2 linked regions of the Elephas maximus indicus genome follow. The protein of the gene in region 2 binds, or shares a complex with, the protein of the main gene of each other region. Links are inferred from orthologs where the notes say so. Each region holds a gene or a part of one and is shown on either strand. Other genes may lie near its edges.

Region 1 (7,207 bases), on a different chromosome or scaffold from region 2:
GCTTTTTTATACAGTTTGATATCATCTGCTGTATCTGAGGCATTAAGGTACCAGGTTAGTGCTAGCAGTTACTGAATTCTCTGGAGGTCAGGGCAGGAGGCCTCATATCCATTTGTGGTTCTATGTGTGACTTTGGTGGTGTCTGTTGGCTGAGAGTGATTTTCTCACTAGTGGATATGGTGGATCACACCCACTTGGAGTCCTCTGTAGTTAGGCTTGTATGTCTTCCCTTACCTGATTGAGTGTAAGTGGTATAGCTGGTTCTTTCCCTGATATTGGGTCACAAATGTTGGGTAGTCTGGGTCCCTCTGCAGCCCTTGTGGGACCATGTGGTACTTCTGGGTTGATGCTAGTAGTTAGTGTATCTGCTGGAGAGCACGAAAGGTCATCTTTGTAGGGGATAGGCTCTGGGTATAGGCACAAATGCTCTCACTGGGCCAATGGGCACTGGAGTGCTCCTGCTGGTCACTATGTGGTAGGTACTCTCCATCCACTTGCTGGGCTGCAGGCTAGGGGGCATTTCTGCTGGTTGCTGGGCAGTGAATGCAGGCACACTCCTGCCAGTCTCTGTATAGCAGGCATGCTCCTGCTGGTTGCTGGGATGCAGGTGCGCTCCTGCCGATCACTAGGTGCGCTCCCACTGGTCTCCAGGCTGCAGGTGTGCTCTGACCAGTCCAGCAGTCCTAGGTGCTCCTGCCAGTTGCCGGGTGGCAGGTGTGCTCCTGCTGGTTGCTGGGCAGTGGGCGTGCTCCTGCTGGTCTCCAGGCAGCTGAAGCAGACTCCCGCCAGTTGGTGGGTAAGGGTGTGGGGGATGCTCTTGTTTGGCTGCTCCAGGCAATTGAGGCCTGGTTCATTTAAATGTGGGGGAGTGCATGGAGACTGGCTGGGTGTGGTTTTACTATTCAGTGGGTGCTTCCCGGCCAAATGCTCAGGCACTGCCACTGGCGAGTAGTACCTTTCCTAGTTCCTGGCTCCCTCCCCTCTGCGCGGTTTGTTTGCACAGTATCTCTTCCTCCTGTTGTGAGCTCCATGTAGTTGCCTTCCTGTGCTCCTTACCCAGGAATGCTGCCCGCTTTGTTTCAAGATGGCTATGTTGTGCCAGGCGAGCTGGCAAGGTGCTGAGGATCTGTATATCTCCATGTGTGCTGTTTTCTTTCAGTCTCTCCTTCCACTTGGAGCTCAGTCTAATTCTTAATCCTTCTGTTTAATGATCAGGGTTCCCTGGTTGTCCTGTATCTGTTTCACTTAGTTTCTAAAGTACTTGATGTAGGGGGACATTCTGCATGTCAGTCTAAGCCACCACCTTAGGCTTTCTGTGCCTAGTTTTTTAGTTTTATTCTATTATACTATCTTTACAATGGGCTGCAATGATGTGATCAAACATAGCAACGACTGTGAGGATGGTGCAGGATGGGTGCCATGGATTGAATTATGTCCCCCCAAAAATGTATTAACCTGGTTAGGCCATGATTCCCAGTATTCTGCGGTTGTTCTCCACTTTGTGATTGTAATTTTATGTTAAGAGGATTGGGCGGGATTGTAACACCATCCTTACTCAGGTCACCTCCCTGATCCAATGTGGAGGGAGTTTCCCTGGGGTGAGGCCTTTACCATGTTTTATAAGGGACGCAAGCAGAGAGTTGGGGACCTCATACCACCAAGAAAGCAGCACCGAGAGCAGAGCACGTCCTTTGGACCTGGGGTTCCTGCACCTGAGATGCTACCAGACCAAGAGAAGATGGATGACAAGGACCTTCCTCTAGAGCTGACAGAGACAGAAAGCCTTCCTCTGGAGCTGATGCCCTGAATTTGGACTTATAACCTCCTAGACTGTGAGAGAATAAATTTCTCTTTGTTAAAGCCATCCACTTGTGGTACTTCTGTTATAGCAGCACTAGATGACTAAGACAACGGGGCAGTGTTTTGTTCTGATATACACAGGGTGCTATGAGTTCAAACCGACTCAGTGGCACTGTTGTGGATTGAATTGTGTTCCACAAAAATGTGTGTCAACTTGGGGCTAGGCCATGAGTCCCAGTATTATGTGGTTGTCCTCCATTTTGCGATCTGATGTAATTATCCTCTGTGTTTTAAATCCTAACCTCTATGACGTTAATGAGGCAGGGATTATAGGCAGTTATGGAAATGAGACAGGATACAATCTACAGGATTAGGTTGTATCTTGAGCCAATCTTTTTTGAGATATAAAATACAGAAGGGAGTAGAGAGGAGAGAGACCTCCTGCCACTGAGAAAGAAGAGCTGGGAGCAGTTCATCCTTTGGATCCTGGATCCCTGTGCTAAGAAAATCCTAGACCCAGGGGAAAACTGATGACAAGGACCTTCCCCCAGAGCTGACAGAGAAAGCCTTGCCCTGGTGCTGGCATCCTGAATTTGGGCTTCTAGACTGTGAGAGAATATATTTCCGTATGTTAAAGCCATCCACTTGTGGTATTTCTTTTATAGCAGCACTAGATAAATAAGACAGGCAACTAATTACCTGTCCATATTTAGCTCATTCTTCTAAGCCTAACACATATGCCATCTCCCTGAAGAAGCCCTACTGTGTTCTTTCCCTTCTCTAAACCTTTATATACATCCCTTATCTTTATCCCATTGCTGTCAAGTTGATTCCAACTCATAGTGACCCTATTGGACAGGTTAGAACTGCCCCATAGGGTTTCCAAGGCTGTAAATCTTTCTGGAAGCAGACTGATGACATTTTTGTTCTGCAGAGTGGCTGGTGGGTTTGAACCACCGACCTTTCAGTTAGCAACTTAGCTCTTAACCACTGCACCACCAGGGCTCCTTCCTTATATCATAACCCATTGCTGCTGAGTCAATTCTGACTCATAGCAACCCTATAGGAGAGAGTAGAACTGCCCCGTAGGGATTCTAAGGAGTGATGGTGGATTCAAACTGCTGACCTTTTCATTGGTAGCCAAGCTCTCAACCACTGCACTGCTTTATATCATGTTAATAAGTTAAATATTTTCTCTCTTCCTTACTCACACACTCCCTCCCAGGATTTTATTCATGTTTACGAGATTTGCAGCTTAGCTCAGTACTCTTCCCAGCAAGATTCTATGAAATGCAGCACATATTTTTGATGCATTAGACAGTGTATGGATTGTTAGTGGCATTGAGTTCACCCTCAACTAATAGGGACACCATGCACAATGGAATCTGATCATTATGAGCCATAGGGTTTTCACTGGATGATTTTTCAGCAGATCACCAGGCCTTTCTTCCTGGTCTTGGTCTGGAAGCTTGGCTGAAATCTGTTCAGCATCATAACTACACATGTCTCCATTAACAGGCATATAGTGACTGTGCTTGAGGTGCACTGGCCAGGAATCTAACCCAGGCTCCACGTGAAAAGTGAGAGTCCTACCATGGCCTTCAAATAGTGCTAGGTTGCTAGGACTAGAGTTAAATGGAAGATACAAGTCTGGCCTTCAAGAAATTCAACATAGTGGGGAGATGAAAAAGTAACCATATTAGCCAAATGAGCATCAAAAAACTTGGTTTGTTACTGAAAGTAACACCTTGTGTATGAACAGTTTACAGCCCTGGAAAATAATATGAGACACAGTGGACAAATCCCGTCAAAGGAGTTCAAAGGAGAAAGAGGGGGGAGAAGAGGTGTGATTACCCATAGGACCTGCTTTGAAATCACTAGGACAAATATAAGGGGGGAAAAATGCAGATTTATACCTCCTGGAATCACAACAGGGAAAAGGAGGCACTTAAGGATAGGTTTTAAACTCCCTAGCTCTTGGGCCATCCAAAATTTTAAGAAAACAGTGGCGCCAAGTTTCGCTGACCTCATCACCCATCTGCTCCCTTTAAATAGCTGGGAGACGGCTTGCAACATGACTCCTGCCTTCCTTTCTTCCGAGGTAGCTCGTCTCCAAACAGCAGCCAGTACACGGCGCTCTCAAGCGGACATTCGCCCACCCCACCGCCAAACACCGCAGAGGCGACCAGATCCGGGCCCCGCAAAGGATTCCGGGTAAAAGCATCTGGCCAATCTAAAGGGCCGACCGAGCTGCAGGAGGGACGAGCAAGGACGTTTCGTTGTTTGACGTTAAACCTGTCCAATGAGAATACAGAGTCAGTGAGGGCCCCCGCCCCAATAGGCAGGATATTAGCCAGTTTCAACCAATCCAACTCAGAAGTGTTGTCTTGTGGGCGTTCCTTGACGCTGCTGGCGCCGTTGGTGTCTGTTGAACGGGCTTTGCGAGTCGGGCTGTGTTGGTAGGGTGTTAAACTCGTTCTTGAGAGGAACGTCTCTGTCGGAAGAGAACATGAGTTTAGCTCTGAGGTCGGTAATGAGGAGACAATGCTCTCCACACCCCGGAGCGGGACCCAGGGGTGGGTGTGTGGGCGTGTGGAAAGAAGGCAGTTTGAGATGAGGAGCGGGGCGGGGACGGAATCTCGGCCAACTTTCTTGACCGCGGAACCCTTACGCTAGGAGCCCTTGGTGTTCCGTAGGTGATGAGTTCCGGCTAAGGTGATCGTTTCTGTCAACCCGTTTCGGTTTTTGGACTGCCAAGGAGGCAGCTACTGTGTTAGCGATCGTGGAGGGAGTGAAATATCGCGAGGCTTTCTGCTCTGGGTGTCCCTGCGAAAAACCAGGCCGTATCGTATCCTTCATTGAGTTCAGTGATCCCAACCTCCGGCCCCCACCTTCTGTTAAGTTGCTGACGTAATCACTCAGTTATAAATTTTGGAAATAATGCAAAGCTCCTCCTTGTTCTTCTCCCCGGGCCCTGCTTTGCGGTATAATTGGAGACACGTTTTAGTGACTTTAGTTGACAGTATCTTAGATTTCCTTAGATTGAGTTCGTTTCCCTTCATTCTAGCCTTTAACCTTCCCGCTCCACTTGCTTCTCCCTCCACCATCCCCATGTAGACGTTTTATCAGAAAAATACCCGTGTAGTTACGCCACTCTAAAAGGTGCTGTTTTCTACTAATGGGCAGTTGTGGTATTCTTGGATTGAGTCAGTTGTCGGTCGGTTGCAGACTTGTCCTCTCGGAATCTTGGGACGGTAACGACTGACCCCGGGAATGTCGAAGCTTGTGTGAAGCCTGGTCTCTTGTGAAAGAAAGATCTTCCTTACCTTTCTCATGCTTCACCTCCTGGTCACTTTCTAGCCATCTCTTTTTTTTTTTTTTTGGTTGCGGATTTCAGAGACCAAAACAACTGGAAGCGCGAATAACACGTTCTAATAAAATCAACTGGATTTTACATTATAAAGTTTTATACGATTTGTCTATACATGTGTTGCATCACCATTTGAAAATTTGGACCACATAAAGATTGGCGTCTCTTAAGACGTTTCTTCTGGCTTTTGAAATAAATTTTGCTTTTATTTTTCTTTAAGCTTTTCCAGAATTTGTTATAAGAAATTTATAATTTACATGCTAAGTGAGACTAGAAGACCATTGAAGCTTCATCTTATCTATATAGGATTAGCACAGTATTATGTACTTTTTCTTTTTGGCGTTTAATATTCGTGATATGTTTAGATTCAGTATTTTGGTTGATTTGTTAATATCAATGGATTAAATCACAAAGTGCCAAGCCATTAGCAATATGTAATGTAAAAACGTTTTGAACCTGCAGTGCCAAAATCTTTAGTAAGTTAATTGATAAATTATATGGTTTTATTTACTTTTTTTTGTAGTAATTTTTAGGATAAATTATAAGCACTCTCAAAAGTAAATCGAGTATGTATGGTTTCATAAATTATGAATTTTACTTGGAGGTTTTTTTAACTATATATTGTAGGATGATATGAATAAAGTTTGCTTTTTTGTTGTTTGGGGTTTAATAAAAGTAATGTTTTTTGTTTGGGGTGACGTAAAAGTAATGTTTCTTAATCACCGTTGTTGTTGCTTCCACAGTAATATTAACGGGAATTAACACAAAGCTATGAGGACTGAAAGTTAGGTCTTTGTTTTTCTTTCGAAAACCTGTAACGCTCTTCGGTTCTGGGAAGGGGCAAATGTATAGAAGCTCAGACAATTCCTTTTTAGAAAATCATTCACTGGATAATTTTTTATTTGTCTTTTTGCAGTCTTAATAATTCAGAGGCATAAGAGAATAGAATTAGAGTAGACTAACAACTTTTTTCTGTCCATTTCATAGAAATGAGCTTGTAGTAGACAAAACAAAGAGAAAAAAGCGAAGAGAACTCTCTGAGGAACAGAAGCAAGAAATTAAAGATGCGTTTGAACTATTTGATACAGACAAAGATGAAGCAATAGATTATCATGAGTTAAAGGTAATAAATCCTTTAAAATACATGTCTGTGTTATAATGATTTGCATTGTTGATAGTTTAAATATTTTTAACTGAATTGGTTTTAGAAATATGAAACAATTTTAAGCTTTCACAGTAAAGTGCTATAATAAAACTGAATACTACCCCTTACATACCTTTTCAAAACTCCCTTTTACATGGTAAAATGAGTTTTAAATAGTATTTTAAGCAGTATTTGAAACCTTGCATATATTCTTATGGCAGTTACTTATTTTTCATTCATGTAATTGAAAGATTTCAAACTATGGGATTTAAACAGCTCTTACTATATTCTTGCCATTTTTTTGATGAATCATTTTTTCAGTGTTTTTTTTTTTTAATTTTAACATGTTAGTAATAAGGTTTTAATCTACTGTCTCTGATGCAATCAACAGAAGTGATATCTAATGTTAATGGGGAAAAATGTCAACTTTAACGCCTAGAATTATTTATAAACATACAAGGGGAAACTGTTTTTGTTTTAAATATTGTGGTAAATATATATGCAACAAAGTATTTGATATTTCAATAATATTTATATGTACAGTTCAGTGACATTGTGTTCATCATGTTCGACCATTACCCTTATCTGTTCCCAAATTATAGAGAAAAACAGTTTTGAATGGCTTTCTAGTAGCCTTCATAGGTATGTGAATATAATAAATGTTTATTTGGTGGTTTTAATTTTGGTAACTTTGTATGGGATTTTTAAGCACAAAATTCTGAGTAGGGGAAAGAACTGTGCAGTGACAGGACGGAATGTATAAAAGCAATACTAGGCCTGTAAGTCTGGCTTTCTCAGTCTTGAGGTCCTCTTAAACTCTCTTCCTACAGCTTTTTTTAGTTACCCACATTTGATCATTTCTTCTATTCTTGCTATTACTCTCTTGATTTGGG
Region 2 (7,370 bases):
CTGCCCTTTCCACCACTGTACACCTGATGGCCCTCAGCAGGACTGGGGCACTGCCCCTCCCAGGGGAGGCTGCAAACAGTGACAGCATGCCAGGCTGCCTCTCCTGACCTCCCGGCTGCAATGGCGAAGTCGATTCTTTCCTGGGCTTTCCTCTGCTAGTGTCTGTTCCCTGAGCCCAGCAGGCAGCAGGCAAGAGGTGAGGGTGGCAGGAGCAGCAGGGGCTAGATGTGAGGCGTCCCCAAGATCTTGTCTCCCTGCCCTCTCCCTGCCCCAACATATCCTCCTCCTCGAGGTGGCCTCTCAGCATGAAAGTGCTCTGGCCACCTCTCTGCTGGCTTATCTTCTGTCCTCTGAGGTGCAACTCTGATTTGTACTGTATGAGACACTAAATAAAAACAACTTCCAAATGCGGATTCTTGGTCCTTTTCTCCCAGTCAGCCCTGATCTCAAGATGAGCTTGGGAATGAATGTTTGGCAGGTACCCAGACCCTCTGTGGGCACAACTTCCAAATCCAAATCCTGCTTAGCTGGAAGGTCCCTGCAGACTTAGGTCTGGCCCAGAGGTCACACACTGGGGCCACAGGACGAAGCCACTGCAGATGTGTTTTGCTTGGACTTCAGTGTTTTAAAAATGCTTTTAAAAATTGGGAAATTTCACATAAAAATCCAGGCTTTTAAGCTTTTTTGATGAGCAGAAGGTGATAACACAGGACCCACATACTAACATGGCTACCACTGGCTGGAGCTGCCTCTTTAGAGGTATGTGTGCTTTTGGGTCCGGCACGGTTCCCACTTTCCCATCCTCATTCATGTCTGTTACCTGGCTGACATTGGTGAGCAAGTTTGTGACCCTGATTTAGTGTAGCCCCCCACTCTATACATGGACCAACCAAGGCCAGAGGAAAAAGCCCTCTCCCAAGACCACCCAGGGAATCAGTGGGGCAAAGCTGATGCTGCCTCCATTTGGCAGGCAGTAGAAGGGAGCCTGAAGGAAGGGACAGATTTGTTAAGTCTCCTTTGTGCCCTAAAGGAATGTCTTGGTACCCTCCTCTGAGGGAAAGGACTTGGCAGTGATTCTCAGGCAGAAGTGCAAGCTCCCCCAGAGCTGGTCCTGGCTCTGCTCCTGGCTTCTGGCCTTGTTGGACCAAAGTTCTCATCTCTTTGTGCTAGGCCTTTCCCTACCAGATTGGACGTTCAGCCTCATGAAATGTGCTGTGCTATCTTCCTGCTGATAGGAAACTTTTATCCATTCAGCGAATGCCGACCAAGTTCCTGCTTACGTGCCAGGCTCTCTGCGTGGGACACAAGGCTGCGGTGTAGGCTCCTTGCTCGGGCAGAGTTCCAGAGTAGAGCCATTCTGAACTCCCAGGAAACTCCTCCAGCCCCTCTGAACCTGTCCTAACCAGAACCCAGTGCTGTCGAGTCAATTCCGGCTCATAGCGAGCCTATAGGACAGAGTAGAACTGCCCCATAAGGCTTTAATATGCTGCCAAGGGAAGAGACAAAGACAGGTTTGATGTGACTGGAGTGTGAGAGGGTCTCAGGAGGGACCCCTTGACAAGATCCTGTGCTGTCCAGCTCAGCAGCACCACTCGGCCAGGCCGCAGAGGCCTTGGAGGGCGGGGGTGGGGGAGGAGGTTGGCTGAAACAAAATATCAGTGCAGGACCTGATCCTCTTCTTCATACACACAACAAGCTGACCCTACCTCCCCCCTTCAGTTCTTCCTACCCCAAATGAAACAGGGAAGTAAAAGTAAAGATCGCTCGGGTCTCCAAGTACAACTGATAAAGCCCCCTTGGCTCGCATGGCTTTTTTGCTACGATGAACCTGGTCTCAGGTTATAATGACACTTTCCCGCACTGATTGCTCATCGTGCCCTGGACTGGACACTTTACATATCTCATCTCACTGGATCCTCACAACACCCCCATGAGATATGCGCTGTTAATTCTCATCTTGCAGACAGGAGAACTGAGTCCACACAGTTAAGTGCCACAACCAAGGATTCTAACCAGATTAGTCTGACACCAGAACCTGAAGCATTAACCCCTATGCTCTACTTCCTCCCTCCAGTGTCCACTCCTGCCCCTTCTGAGGACTGCTAGGTGTGTGTGTGTGGAGGGAGGGGGTCTGCAGCACACTCGAATTCTTTGAGCTGCTGCACTATTCTTTGTTTTTTTTTTTTTTTTAACATTAGCAAAACTAAAACCAAGAAAGCTTTGATTTTTATTTTAAATTTGAACCACCCAAAAGTCCAATCTTCTTTTCACCCCTTGGCTCTTCATACCCAAGTGGCTGGCTGCTGTGGGGGCCATTCACACTCCCCATGTTCCTGTCTCCTCCATCACTACTGCTGCACAACAACTAGGCCATCAGCAATATCAGGAGGTAGAGAGGCAAAAGGAGATTGTCTATCTGTGTGGTGTACGCTTCTAGGAGGGACACAGTACTGATGGACCCCAAAATCCAAGCATAATTGTAGTTTAGGTCCACTTCACTGTCAAAGATTAAGATCAGAGCTACAGAAATGATCTGGGCAAATATAGACGTCATGGTCCCCTCGAAAGTCTTTTTAGTTCCAGGCCAGTGGATCTCTCCCATGGCGCTGCCAAAGACAGAGGCCACAGTATCGCCTACACCCACAGCCAGGACGCCAGCGTAAGGGACTAGGGCCCTTGCTCCCCCGAAGCTACCCTTCTGTGTACAGGGTCTGGGGACCAGCCAAATGGGAAGAGACACGCCCAGGAGCAGGTAGATGTGGGTCAGGATGAGTGGTCCACTGTCTCGTTCATCCAGGAAGAGGGACAGGAGGTTCCGCAGAGTGTGGCCCAGGGGCTTGATGCGGAAGTAGCGCACATACTCCAAGAAGATGAAGACTGCCAGGCATACAGTGGCGGCCACATAGAGCAGTGGCCGGTCAAAGATGATACCTGGGATGTAGGTGGCTACCACAATGAAGTGGAAATACTTCCGGGCGATGGTGGGGGCCTGGTGCTTCTTGGATTCAGAAGATGACCGCTTTGCATTCTGGTACAGCACTACCAGGCAGGCCAAGGTGGCCAGCAGAGACCAATAGGCTAGGAGGTAGATGCGGGTATCTGTTTGGAAGAGGAAATGAAGGAGCCAGAGCAAGGGATTCCTGCGGATGAGTCGATGCAGCCAGGGCAGGACCACACCAAGGCCCAGCACGCAGGTCATGAGGTGGAAGAAGATGGAGGAGGCCCAGGTGCCTGAGTCCATGAAGGCAAAGAGGGTGCTGAAGAGGATACCCATGAGCACCATCCCTACCACCACTACCAACAAGAAGAAGTCCACTGGGTCCCCCTGGTTTTCCACCACTGTCAGAGAGCGCTTGATAAGCTGGTTGAGCACAAAGCTGATGCCACCTAATACCAGCACTGCCTCTCCAGGGGTGAAGCAGCGGGGCAGCAGGTACAGCAGGATCATGTTGAGGTACACGAAGATTAGCAGGACCTCTAGGACCTCAATCACCTCACCCACACTAAGCGAGTGCTTCATGATGTAAATGATGCCACCTCCAGCCAAGCCCGAGATGACGCAAGTGTTGGTGGGCACGGGGCGAGTGATGCCCAGCGCCAACACTGACGAGAAGAGGGCCACTGCCATGCCAGTGGCTGCTACGACGATACCAAAACGTTCAAAGTGTGGGTTCCCTGCAGCCTGGCAGCGTTCCTTCATGACCAGTCCGAGCAAAGGCATGACCATGGAGGCAGGCAGTAGTCCACTGTTGGCAGACATTCGGAACTGGAAGACGGCGCCTCCTTGCTGGAGCAGCCGGTCCCACTTGTATTGGACGTAGAAGGCCTGCACTGCGAGGGCCACAGCGCACCACGAGTATCGGTCCCACACGGTTACGTGAATGCTCAGCACCATGGCGAACACCACTGCCGCCTCTGCCAGGACCGAACCGCTCAGCGGAGCTCCCGCCCCCGGGGTCGGAGGAGCGCTATCTCGGGTCATGTCTCCAGGCTTGAGGCCCCCGGAAAGCCGGGGTGACTAGGGACGCCTTGGACTCTTGGTCCCTCAGCACCGCCAAGCAAAGGACAACGGTTTCACCCAGCCAGTAACCTTCTCCCTCCGTTTTCCAGTTGTAAGGACAGAACTCCACTGCAGGTCACTCTCTGCGGCCTGAAAGCTGGAGTCCCGTCACTCTCCACCGCCTCCAATTTACGGAGTAGACACCGTCTCTCGGCCGCCTTCCTCACGACCGCGGACACCCTGGCCGCTGGTTCTCCGCTTCCCCGGGTATCGCCATCTTGGCCCCGCCCCGTACCGGACTCACGTGACGGAAGCTCCGCCCCACGCGTCAGGTACCAGGCGAGCGGTCACGTGGGCGCCGCGTCTGGGGGCGGGGCTGGGGCGCGCGCGCGGGAAGATGGCGGCGGCCGCCGGCGAGCCGTGTGTGAGGTGCGGAGCGGGCCAAGTTGTCGGGGTTGGCTGTGAGGCGCGGGCTCGAAACTAAGCAGAAGCGGGGCGGGAATTGGGAGCGGGATGTGGCGGCGGTGGCGGTGCGAAGCCCGGCTGGGTAGACGGCGCCGAGACGGGAAGCGGTTACGTGCAAACGGTCCCCGCGCGCGGGGAGCTGAAGGGACTTCTCCAAGCGGAGGGCCGGTTCCTCACCTTATCCCTCAGTTCTGGGCTTCCCGTCTCCTCACCCAAGTCCTTTTCTCTTCTTCCCCTCTTCCCGTCCGTGTGTCCTTTGGAGCCCCACTAGCGCTTCCTCGTCTGGCTGTGACGCTACCTCGAGGCGCAACGGGCGCTTTGCGGTCGCCTGGAGGACCCTCTCCTTCCCTCCCCCTCCCCCCACGTCCCCGCCGCAGCCCCCCGGTGACCTGTCCCGGGCCTTCCCTGCCTCTCAGGTTCTCCTCATGTGCTCTCTTGTTGCACAGAGCCACCTCCTTGTAGTTTTTGTCCTCATTCTCCGCTCAGCCTTTCATCCACCCATCTATTCATTATTTTACTCATTGATTCGGTCAGCCGATGTGTTCAAATCTCCCAAGAGATTTCAGGCACTGTTCTAGGCTTTGGGAGCAAGAAGACGAAACGCTAAAAAGAATAATACAGTTTTCAATATAGAGGGTTTGCTCTTGCCAGACACTGGTGAGATCCTTTTGAATTCTCACAGCTCTTGTGAGGTACCCTTTACAGATGAGTCAGAAGTCCCGCTCTGCTAGCTAAGGGGTAAAGTGAGGGAGGATTCAAATCCGAGTCTGTTCGACTCCAGAACTGTAATGAAACCTTCACACCCCTGTCTTCCACATTCCACCTTGAAGAGGTTTCGTCCATTCTACTCCCTCCCACCTTCCCTAGTCAAAGTAGTTATGGCGCTTATATTCCCAGTGCCAACAATGTTTTCCCCACTTTTTTGTCGTATTCCCCACTGTATCCTCCGTACCCAGGAATAGCATGTAATTAAAAAAAAAAAAAGCCATTAGTATTTATTACAAATATTGTCCGTTTTCTCTGGCATCACTTTAATTTCCCAGCTGAAAGTGAGATTTTTCTCCTCTGGAATTTTCCCTGGACTACCTCTGTACCTTGTGAGGACCAGTTTGCTTTTTTCTCCTCTGTCGTTTCATGCCAACCATTGTATCAGGACAGCATTGTAGCCACTGTGCCCTCCTTTTCTTAGGGTTGTTTCATAGTCGTTATGGCTCCTGTAGAATAAAGCATGTTCCTTAATGAAAAGGAACATTAGGAAAGCATTGGTTTGCCTGAAAGATGACTTGTTCATGCTGGGGAACCTACCAAACTCATCCTAAGGAGGAAGAAAGGGCATTAGAGTTCTTAGGCACTGCTTTGCTCATGGCTTGTATCAGGAGAGTGATTTTTTTGTGTGTGTGTGCCAAAAGTCACATTCAGTAGCAGATGGAATTATACTGAGCAGCAGTCCTCTGTCTGAAATGCCTGTAGGTCTGGACTAAGAGAAAACTTAATTCTCTTCCTGATGCCTCAGATTTGCAGATGACTGCAGACAAGCGACCTCACCATTTTGAACCTGTCTCTCCAAATGCAGATCATTTCCAGAGTAGTATTGAAGTGGCTGTGAGGCTTTTTTTTTTTTTTGTAGGAAAAGTCATTGTGAATGTTAATACAAGCTGGCATTAGTTTAAAAAAAAAAAAAAAAAAGGAATACTACCCTTAAATCAATCTTTTGGAAAGGTCACTCAGGAATTGGCAGAAAGTTTGAATATTGGCACTTTTCTTGTAACTCCTGCGTTCTTCAGTTAAAGTGTTTGAATTAGTCTGAATGGTGTAGGTGTGCTAAACAAAAATAGAACTGCAATTTGGAAAGCTTTTGCTGCTGAGCTTAAATCTCAGTTCACACAAGAGAGGTATACTTCCTCTGTGAAGTTAGAGCGTCCACGGGCAGTGGTAGCTTTTATTTATTAAATATCTCATCAAGGTAGCTTGGCTGTGTCCCAGCTTTCTATCCAAAGGACTGAATTGTAGAAACAGTTATTTCTAACTCCCAGTAGCCTTCACTCATAGCTTTCCAATGAGATGGATGACTAAAGAAGATAATTTTCAGGCTCCATTAACTTCAGCTCTTGTAGGAATGACGTTCCATGTTTGCTGGAACACTGGACTGGAAATAGTGAAGTTTTTAAAACTTTACCTTTGAATTTGAGGCAAATTATTTAATCTGTGCCTTAGTGTCTCCCCCACATACTTCGCTGAAAGGAGTATTATGCATGTAAATGAGAGACATTAGCACATAGTTTCTTGGAAATATATATAGAAGCTATTTCCCCGAGTCTTGGGTGGGCTTCACAGTTCTAAGTTTCAGTCAAGCCTTTAGGTCCCAATTTGAGATGAAGCCTTTTGTCAATCACTGAATCAGTCCCCAGCAATCCCTCTCTCTTCTGACTTTTCTGTTCTATGTGGTTAAGTTTCTTTGTATTAGTTGTTAGTATCATGCCGTTTAGTACTTTCTTCCTTTTTGCCGATTGTGTAATGTGTATTTAATATCCTTTGCCGTTCTCATCCCTTAAGCTTAGCATCATAAAGGTCTTAGATTTATTTGTATCCCCATTATTCCTAGGCCAGTGAGTATGTAGGTATTGAGGAAACCAGTTAGACTTACTTCCATAGATTTTGTTCCTGATAACTCTACCATTTTCTCCTTTATTCTCCCTTCTGTTGGTACTTCTGCATATATTGTTTTTCTTGATTTTTCTGTTCCAGTTAGATTGCAAGCCTAAAAGGGACCCATATCATTCCCTTTCTTTGATGTTTATTCTTTCAAATATCTGTGCCAGCTACTACGTTAAGGGTATGGTCCGCTATTGTAGAACACCTCAGTTGACATCTTTGCTTGCTGGCAGCATGAATTCTTGGGTGCATC

Evidence for each region. Proteins that work in one complex are often made in the same cells at the same time.
Region 1: NUP188 (region 2) and CETN3 share a complex: the UniProt entries of both Homo sapiens proteins name them as parts of the nuclear pore complex. The link is inferred for Elephas maximus indicus from reciprocal best matches to the Homo sapiens genes NUP188 and CETN3.

Annotation. Positions count from the first base shown.
Region 1 is NC_064820.1:97,036,344-97,043,550, reverse strand, and holds the start of CETN3 (centrin-3), read left to right. Parts: upstream 1-4,192; 5' UTR 4,193-4,309; coding exon 4,310-4,326; intron 4,327-6,157; coding exon 6,158-6,293; intron 6,294-7,207. UniProt on the Homo sapiens protein: Plays a fundamental role in microtubule-organizing center structure and function. As a component of the TREX-2 complex, involved in the export of mRNAs to the cytoplasm through the nuclear pores.
Region 2 is NC_064827.1:79,928,707-79,936,076, forward strand, and holds the start of NUP188 (nucleoporin NUP188), read left to right. Parts: upstream 1-4,350; 5' UTR 4,351-4,397; coding exon 4,398-4,429; intron 4,430-7,370. Other genes in the region: PHYHD1 (phytanoyl-CoA dioxygenase domain-containing protein 1), read left to right, coding at 1-27; DOLK (dolichol kinase), read right to left, coding at 2,366-3,982. UniProt on the Homo sapiens protein: Component of the nuclear pore complex (NPC), a complex required for the trafficking across the nuclear envelope. Required for proper protein transport into the nucleus.